2 linked regions of the Macaca mulatta genome follow. The protein of the gene in region 1 purifies or fractionates together with the protein of each later gene. This does not show direct contact. Links are inferred from orthologs where the notes say so. Each region holds a gene or a part of one and is shown on either strand. Other genes may lie near its edges.

Region 1 (4,270 bases):
GAATCTAAAATGTTTAGACACGGACAGCCAAAAATCTTCCAAGGTATTTTTGTTCATACATATATATAGAGAGAGAGAGAGAGCACCAGATTCATATTTTTTCTTTCTACATTTCTCTTGTAAGGCAGTTCTGTTGATTGCCAGTAATCTAGATGAGTTTATGCTGTTATGCTCTGAATCCCAGTGTGATGTGACGAAAGCACTGCTATTTTTTACCAAACATTCACAATAAAAAGAGAAATGTACCTATATTTAAGATGTATCATGAGAATTACTACGTTAAATGGTCCAAGGCTCTTTCGGCCGAAAATTAAAGCTTCACAGTTAACCCCTATTTATATACCAAATCATGCTTTTTAAAAACAATTTTATGCGCTTCACTAATTTCTAACAAAGATTTTCCGATTCTGTTGCAAACAATATGTCAGCTAAACCACTATGTCCTATGCCTTTTATAAGATGGTACTTTTTTAGGCCGAACTCTATTCTTATTCCTCTGGACACAGGAGTTGTAATCATGTCTTACTCTGCAAATCTAGCCGTAGGTGGTGTCTTAAAAAGGACTTTTTCTTCCTTCGAGGAAGTGGTCAAGCTTCCCCCCAGCCCCCACCCGTGTCATCCTGGAAACAACTTGGTTGTTTTTCGGTGCTATCTAATTAAGCGATGTAGGAGAAAGAAGTTGAGGAGACAAAAAAGCCTATTGATTACATTGTACTTGCTTCTCTACCTCGCTCTTCAAAGGACTAAGGTTCCTTTGACCTCGACTGAGTTCATTTCCACCCTGCCTACAAAGTACTGGTTTAAAAAAAAAAAAAAAAATCCAAGCCAAGTATGCTCTTGTCTATGAACAATACTTCTTGTCCAGTTTTATTACATTTTCTTTGAAAATTCGTTAGATTATGCTCAACAATCGGCCGCTTGCCCAACCGGTTTCTCCCTTCCCCCATCTCTCTTCACACATCACTTTTTCCTCCTCCCATCCAGGCAGTTGGTAAAACGCTGCAGTGCCAGTAACGCACGCTTTGGGGTGGTCACTGCAGTTTATCCTTACTTGGCTTTGCAAACTCCCCACCCAGGCCTTGTCCCCTCGCGCCCCACTCTGCCATTATCTTTCCAGTAGAGTGTGCTCGGTAAGGGGCTCCAGATAGCACGTCGAGGGTATACGGCAGCCTGCCTACCAATAGGAGCCCACAATGAAGAGAAGTCAGGTTCAGCCGGCCGGCAGCTCCAGTATCTCCTTCCCCTAACTCTACACCTACTGTACCCGGGAGCGAGCGAGCAAGGGAGGGAGCGAGCGCGGCGCGGCGCGGCGCGGCGCTGGAGGGGGCGCGCAGGGAGGGCGGACAGCAGCCGCGGCCTGCGCTTGCGCATTGGGGTTGTTTTTCACAAAGCTGCTCTTAAAGTGAGCTGGCAGCCTTTAGCCGCCCGTCTTTGTAAGGAGACCACTGAGACGAGCGGGAGCGCGGAGCAGCAGCTTCTGCTGCCCTGACTTTTTAAGAAATCTCAATGAACTATTTGTAGAGAATCACTGATCCGGCCTGCAAGCATTTTGCACGGCAAAAATATCGATCAGTGTTAAGTGAAGATCACATTTTATATGCGATCTTGACTTTTTTGTCTTACATTATATTTTTATAGATTTTGTTATAAACATGGTGCTGGGAAAGGTGAAGAGTTTGACAATAAGCTTTGACTGTCTTAATGACAGCAATGTCCCTGTGTATTCTAGTGGGGATACTGTCTCAGGAAGGGTAAATTTAGAAGTTACTGGGGAAATCAGAGTAAAATCTCTTAAAATTCATGCAAGAGGGCATGCGAAAGTACGCTGGACTGAATCTAGAAACGCCGGCTCCAATACTGCCTATACACAGAATTACACTGAAGAAGTAGAATATTTCAACCATAAAGACATCTTAATTGGGCACGAAAGAGGTAAGTTTTTCTGTTATTCAGAAGTCATTGGACTCATTTTCTTTGGAAACGTACCTTTTCAGTTTTCTGAATTAACGTGATTCTACTCATAGTATAACTAAGCAGTTTGATAAAGGTTAGCAAAGTTGGAAGGTTTGGATTCCCCTTGACGTTCATCGTGTGTTAAGCCGTAATGCATGCAGGCATCTGCAAAGTGACTGCAAACTACACTTATTCAACTACCTCTATACCCGGCTTGGTCTGTGCCATACGCGCTTGTAGTCCATTTGCACCTTATAAATTCTGCTTGAATCCAATGCAATCGTTTTACTAATATATTTTCAAATGAATTGCTAAAAGCTGCAGTCTTAGATTTTTGCCCTTTTACTTGCAACCTAAGATGTAAAAACTAAACTTCAATCAAGAAATGTAATAACATTTTTAAGAGGCTTAATGGGCGTGTTTCATTTTTAATTTTGGAATGCAAAAGACTTTAAAGAATTGATCACTGTGCTTTCATAAAAGGTTTATGTGGCTTATTTTGACATATGGTATCAACACCCCACGTGTTTTTTCTCTATTCTTTCCCATTCCTTTAAAAATTTACACCCAGCATTCCTTATTTTAAAGGGTACTGTCTGTCATTATGATAGGTATCGAGTCAGTTTTAGAAGCCATTTAGGATCAGTAATTTTCTTTTCCGAGCATCATGTCTAACTTTGGAACGTGCATTCAATGAAACCCATGCCAGTCAAATGGAATTGAAAAGTATAGGGCACACTGGATTTGATTTTTGGTTAGAAGAGGGAGATAAAGGGTTGTCAAAGGGAGAAGGAGTCCTGAGATTTCCAATCTATTGTTTAAATGGTTACATTGTGGAAATATAGGAGAGTCTAGGCTTGTTTTTCTAAGTTTCCACCCTTTGTTAGAAGCGGTTCAATCCTGTTTCGGACCAGTTCTGGGGGGTGGTGAGGAGGGGCGCTTGTTCTGCTCTCAGCAGATTGGTTACACGCGTCAGGTGGTGGCGATGACTTAATTCCTAGCCCAAGAAGAATATAATGTTAAAACTGGTTATGTAATTTTTGTGCCTCTCCTTTTTAATGCAGTATTTAGTTCAGATGTTGGCGATTTTTCAGAAAAAAATTAGAGCCATATTTTACCTTCTTTTTTATATTAAAAACGTACATCCTGGAGAGGTGCTGATGACTGAACTAAGGCAAGTGAGAAATGAAGGATGCTTTGAGGGGCAGTATTAATGCATGATTTCTGAAACTATTAAGGTGAACTCAGTTCTTTAGTAGGATTTTCGTAGATACAGGTACTTTGCATCCTGAAATAACTAATTAATGTCTCCAAGCGTTAACACTGATAGGAGATGCAGATGCCTAATGACAGTCTTGGTATTTGTTGAAAAGCAGATAGATGAGTTTGTGTTTCTACCTTTCTGAATATTGCAGCCTTTTATGAAATGGGTGAAAGAAACAGATTTTTCTTCAAGAGGTTGAGACTTGCAATGGGGGAAAAGTAGAACAATGAGTTGTGAGGACAAATATTTCATTAGTTACACCATGATTTCATGGTAAAGAAAACTAAATGCCCTGCACCCCCAACAAAATGCCCCCCCCCCCAAACCCTGCAACGCGTAGACGAGCTCAGTCTGGAATAGTTTCAATGACTTGAAACTGGGAGCTCTCAAACTAGCCTGGTAACTGAGACCCCGCCCCGGGCGCCCGGGATAGGCGGAGCCAGGTTTGTTAGCCTGTTGCTAAGGCGATGGCAGGCGCTGATTGGATTGGGCGCGGGCGGGTGGGGAGAGGGGGCTCGCGCCGCTGCTGGGGCGAGGCTAGGAAACCGGCGTGCGCCGGTAAAGGTCCCTCCAGAGAGCCACCCCCACCCAGTCCATACTCACGTTTGTTCCCGGGCTTCTGGGGGCGCCCGGCCCGTGTCACATCACGTTCTATCGCCCCTCTTTTGGGCCTGCTAAGGACCATCGAAAGGAAACGACTTCAGGCTTTAGCTGAGTTGAGGGCAGACGCTCCTGCCGGCCTTACAGGTGCCGGATGGCCCGGGACCCAACTTTAGTGGAAAATCCTTTTCAGATGGAATTTGGATGGGAAGGGTTGGCAGGACCCCCGTTAGCTATCTGCCGGGTAGGAGGTGTCAGGGGACTCCTGTGAACGCTTCTGAAACAAAGCGTGTTCCCCGACCTCTCCAGTAGCCACACTGGCTACCTTGAGTTGACCTGAGGGGACAGAGCAGAGGCTGGCCCGGGGAAGAAAGAAAATGATTCCAATATCGAAATCTAGGTGGGGGCTTCGAAGGGTATCCTCTGCCCCCTCCCCCATTGTTTTCCGAAAGC
Region 2 (4,599 bases), on another chromosome or scaffold:
CAGGATGGTCTCGATCTCCTGACCTCGTGATCCGCCCGTCTCGGCCTCCCAAAGTGCTGGGATTACAGGCGTGAGCCACCGCGCCCGGCCTAATTTTTTGTATTTTTACTAGAGATGGGGTTTCAACATGTTGGCCAGGCTGGTGTTGAACTCCTGACCTCAGGTGATCCACCCGCCTTGGCCTCCCAGAGTGCTGGGATTACAGGAGTGAGCCACCGCGCCCAGCTTAGATTTAATCATTTTAACCATGTATGCAGTTGTAAGTGATAGTGAGACCTAAGAGTTTGGCTCTCAGGGGAGAGGATGGGACTTGAAGTATAGGTTATCTGTTTTTTCTACTCTGTTTTATGCTGTTTTTAAAATTGTACAAGTCAACAATGATACATGTTTCACTTCTAGAACTTCAAACAATACATACAAAACTGCAGTTCCCTGTGACCACCTACTTGAGTACACAGGTGCCCTCCTCCTCAATGGAATGTATACTTTTTCTGTGTTTATTTATAAGTATTTGTACTCATAGGAGTATATAGTGTTTTAGTTTGCAAAAATAATATCATACTGTACATACTGATGGGGTGATCATTTTGTGATCCACCCCACCCCAACTCATGTATGCTATTCTGCAACTTTAAAGATGTTCTTGGGATCTTTCAATTTCAGTCATTAATAAGTTACTTATTTTGATACCTGCATAGTAATCTGTTCTGTGGTATGAATATGTGATTTATTTAACATATGCCAATTGATAATATAGGTTGCTTCTAATTTTTTGATATTATGCAAATAGCAATTTTTATTCTTTTCAAGAATTTAAAATGCTTGGTGAATTTTAGTTATGTAAAACTAGTATGTATATGTACATAAATTATTGAAATTACTAGCATGTTTTTGGCAGAGCACCTCACAATTCTACCATAATGATTCTCTGTAATTATCTGGAGAGTCATTGTTCTTAAAAATATTTGCAGGCTATGCTTTCATTAATCTTTTCTACATGAAGTTAATTTTAGTTTTTAAAATATACTTCATTTTTGTAGAGATCTAAAATTTTTTGCGACTTTGTAATTAATGTAAATTTATATTTAGAATAGTTTATACTGTACTATTAGAAAGGGCATTTTCTTGCAATAAATCGTTAGTGGAGATGAGTGACTGTTGATGGAGATGAGTACCTTTATCATGCAGAATATCAGCACCTAGATATTGGACTTTTCTCACTGCCCCTTAATTTACTTTTTTTGATATTGTCGTTCTATGGCAAACAGGCTTTTGGATATTGAGGAGGGAGTAATACGTGTACATAATGTGTTATAATGTCTTTGAGGACCCTTCTCATAACAAGCCATTTGAATCAGAATAATATCTTGTGCAATATGGTGTTAAAAGGCTTTTAGGTTACATCTCATTTCTTAATATATTATGGATGACTACTAATGACTTTATGCTGTTTACCTTTCATTTTTAAAATAAAAGGGTTCTTTTAGCAGATTTTGTTTATAAAACATCTCATTTGAAATAGTGCAATTTAAATAAACAAGGTAAAGGAAAAAATATATGTATTATGCCAAGAAAATGAGCTAGTCCCTATGGTTGAGACCAAATTTTAGCTTCGAGCATTTTTGTATGTAAGCACAGAATGAGGTAGGTTGGATTTTATAGGGTTCATCTCAGTAGGAATTAATTATTGTTCCATTTCATTTTTGCAGAAATGAGAAGCCATCATAATTGTTTTATATTTAAATTTTTAAACGGAAACCTAAATTTGCATAAAAACTCAAGACAGCGTTTACAGTTTCAAGGCATTTTGTTTGCCTTATTGTATTTGTGTACTTCTTACAAAAGTACCTGGCAAACAGTAAGTGCCAAGTATATTTAGTTTAATTTTATTTTTTATTGTATCTTATTTCTTCTTTTTTGAGGTAGGGTCTTCCTCTGTTGCCCAGGCTGGAGTACAGTGGTGTGATCACAGCTCACTGCGGACTTACCTCCTGGGTCGGGAGTGGTGGTGTGCACCAGTGGTCCCAGCAACTCAGGAGGCTGAAGCAGAAGGACCCCCCAGCCCGGGAGGCGCTCCAGAACACCCCAGCTTGGGTGACAGAGTGAGAGTTTTTCCCAAAAAATAAATAAGTAAATAAAGTTGCTTGGGACATGTTATATAGATGATATTTAAAGCTATCTGGATAGGTAATATCCTCCAGGTTATAATCATCTGTACCCCATTGCTTGATGGGGTGATCATTTTGTGATCCACCCCACCCCGACTCATGCATGCTAATAGTTATGTATGCCTTTTCTCAAATTTATCTGCCTGCCTTTTGTCAGATGATTTTCAGTGAACCTTCACTGGGCGCAAAGGGGAAGTCTTGTCTTGGCCCCTGTAGTACTAACAAGCATTGTCAGATTTTGCCAATAAGTTAGGTAGGATAAAGACTAGAATTGAAAATTGTGTTTAGCAATGTAAAGGCCTTTGTTACACTGTCTTCAGTAATAGCCAGGTTAGCACTATTTACGTACGTTTTTAATGGGAATTTTTGATGTTTACACTGCCTCCTTTGCCATGTTCAGGTTTTCCAACCTATTGGTGGTATGTCTGACAGTGGATCACAACTTGGTTCAATGGGTAGCCTCACCATGAAATCACAGCTTCAGATCACTGGTAAGTTTTAGAAACATCGGCAGCTTTATTTTTCCCCATGTGATTAAAAAATAATCCTGAGAGGGCCGGGCATGGTGGCCCATGACTGTAATCCCAGCACTTTGGGAGGCTGAGGTGGGCGGGTCGCTTGAGGCCAGGAGTTTGACATCAGCCAGGCCAACATGGAGAATACAAAATTAGTTGGGCGTAGTGGTGCACGCCTGCTGTCCCAGCTACTTCGGAGGCTGAGGCATGAGAATCGCTTGACCTTGGGAAGTGGAGGTTGCAATGAACCGAGATTGCGCCACTGCACCCCAGCCTGGGTGATAGGGTGAGACTCTCAAAAAAAAAAAATCTTAAGAGAACAAAATATTTAATGGCTGTTACATGTCAGGTGCTCAATTAATATTTGCTGAATGAATGAATGAAGACATACAGATAGTAATTTTTATTGTAGAATATTCTTGGATATTTTACAGTTTTTTTTCCTTGAACATGGGCACCTGGGTAGTTGCTTATTTTGTTTGTTTTGTATTGTATTAACAGCTTTATTGAGATATAATTCATATCCCCTACAGGTTACCCATTTATTGGGATTACACGCCTGTAATCCCAGTACTTTGGGAGATCCAGGTGGGCGGATCACCTGAGGTCAGGAGTTTGAGACCAGCCTGGCCAACATGGTGAAACCCCGTCTCTGTTAAACATAAAAAAAATTAGCTGCACGTGGTGGTGCATACCTGTAATCCCAGCTACTTGGGAGGCTGAGACAGGAGAATCGCTTGAACCTAGGAGGCAGAGGTTGCAGTGAGTCGAGATCATGCCATTGCACTCCAGCCTGGGCGACAGAGCGAGATTCCATCTCAAAAAAAAAAAAAAGACTTCAGTCTTTATATTCCTGCTATATAAGTTTAGTTATTGAAAACTCAAGGAAGGAACAAAGGTAATTGTAATTGTTTCCTTCTTTGGTGGATCTGGACTTAGGCAGATAAGAGAACTTCAGAAAACAACTTCATGCTGTACTTTGAGAGAAAGAAGATTGAGGGAGGGATGCTGCAGGGGTCAGAGAGATCTTGAGAGACTCCTTTAGTTCAACGAGTCAAAGCACCATATTTTGGGATATCAGTTTCTGAACCCCAAAAGTACATTCACAGAGTTGTGCAACCATCACCACAATCAACTTTAAAATATTTTTGGCCGGGTGCGGTGGCTCAAGCCTGTAATCCCAGCACTTTGGGAGGCTGAGACGGGCGGATCACGAGGTCAGGAGATCGAGACCATCCTGGCTAACCCGGTGAAACCCCGTCTCTACTAAAAAATACAAAAAAAAAAAAAAAAAAAAAAACTAGCCGGGCGAGCTGGCAGGCGCCTGTAGTCCCAGCTACTTGGGAGGCTGAGGCAGGAGAATGGCATAAACCCAGGAAGCAGAGCTTGCAGTGAGCTGAGATCCGGCCACTGCACTCCAGCCTGGACGACAGAGCGAGACTCCGTCTCAAAAATATATATATATATTTTTTTGTCCTTCCAGAAAGAAGCCCTGTACTCATTAGCAGTCACTCTCCATTTAACCCATCCACCCACAAACCCAGGCAACTCCTGATCTTTCTGTCTCTAGATTTCCCTATTCTGGATCTTGCATATAAATGGAATTGTACAATGTGTGGCCTTTTGTGTCTTCTTTGAGCAGACTGTTTTCAAGGTTCATCCTTGTTGTAGCATGTAGCATTACTTAATTCCTTTTTTTGCTAAATAATATTTTATTGTATGAGTATACCAAATTTTAAAAATCCATTCTTCAGTTGAGGGATGTTTGGGTTGTTTCTACTTTTTGGATATTATGAAAAATGCTATAAACATTTGTGAACAAGTTTTTGTGAGAATGTATGTTTTCAGTTTTCTTGGGTATATACCTAAGAGTGAAATTCCTAGGTTATATGGAATCCATGTTTATTAGCATTTTG

Evidence for each region.
Region 2: the proteins of ARRDC3 (region 1) and ITCH purify together in Homo sapiens (co-immunoprecipitation; 5 studies listed by BioGRID and IntAct, counting the BioPlex papers as one, with this or other methods). This does not show direct contact. The link is inferred for Macaca mulatta from reciprocal best matches to the Homo sapiens genes ARRDC3 and ITCH.

Annotation. Positions count from the first base shown.
Region 1 is NC_133411.1:97,758,130-97,762,399, reverse strand, and holds the start of ARRDC3 (arrestin domain-containing protein 3), read left to right. Parts: upstream 1-1,437; 5' UTR 1,438-1,652; coding exon 1,653-1,932; intron 1,933-3,820; exon of another isoform or gene 3,821-4,270. UniProt on the Homo sapiens protein: Adapter protein that plays a role in regulating cell-surface expression of adrenergic receptors and probably also other G protein-coupled receptors.
Region 2 is NC_133415.1:87,186,295-87,190,893, forward strand, and holds the start of ITCH (E3 ubiquitin-protein ligase Itchy homolog), read left to right. Parts: upstream 1-1,711; coding exon 1,712-1,858; intron 1,859-1,922; exon of another isoform or gene 1,923-1,946; coding exon 1,947-2,102; intron 2,103-2,568; coding exon 2,569-2,659; intron 2,660-4,599. UniProt on the Homo sapiens protein: Acts as an Acts as an E3 ubiquitin-protein ligase which accepts ubiquitin from an E2 ubiquitin-conjugating enzyme in the form of a thioester and then directly transfers the ubiquitin to targeted substrates.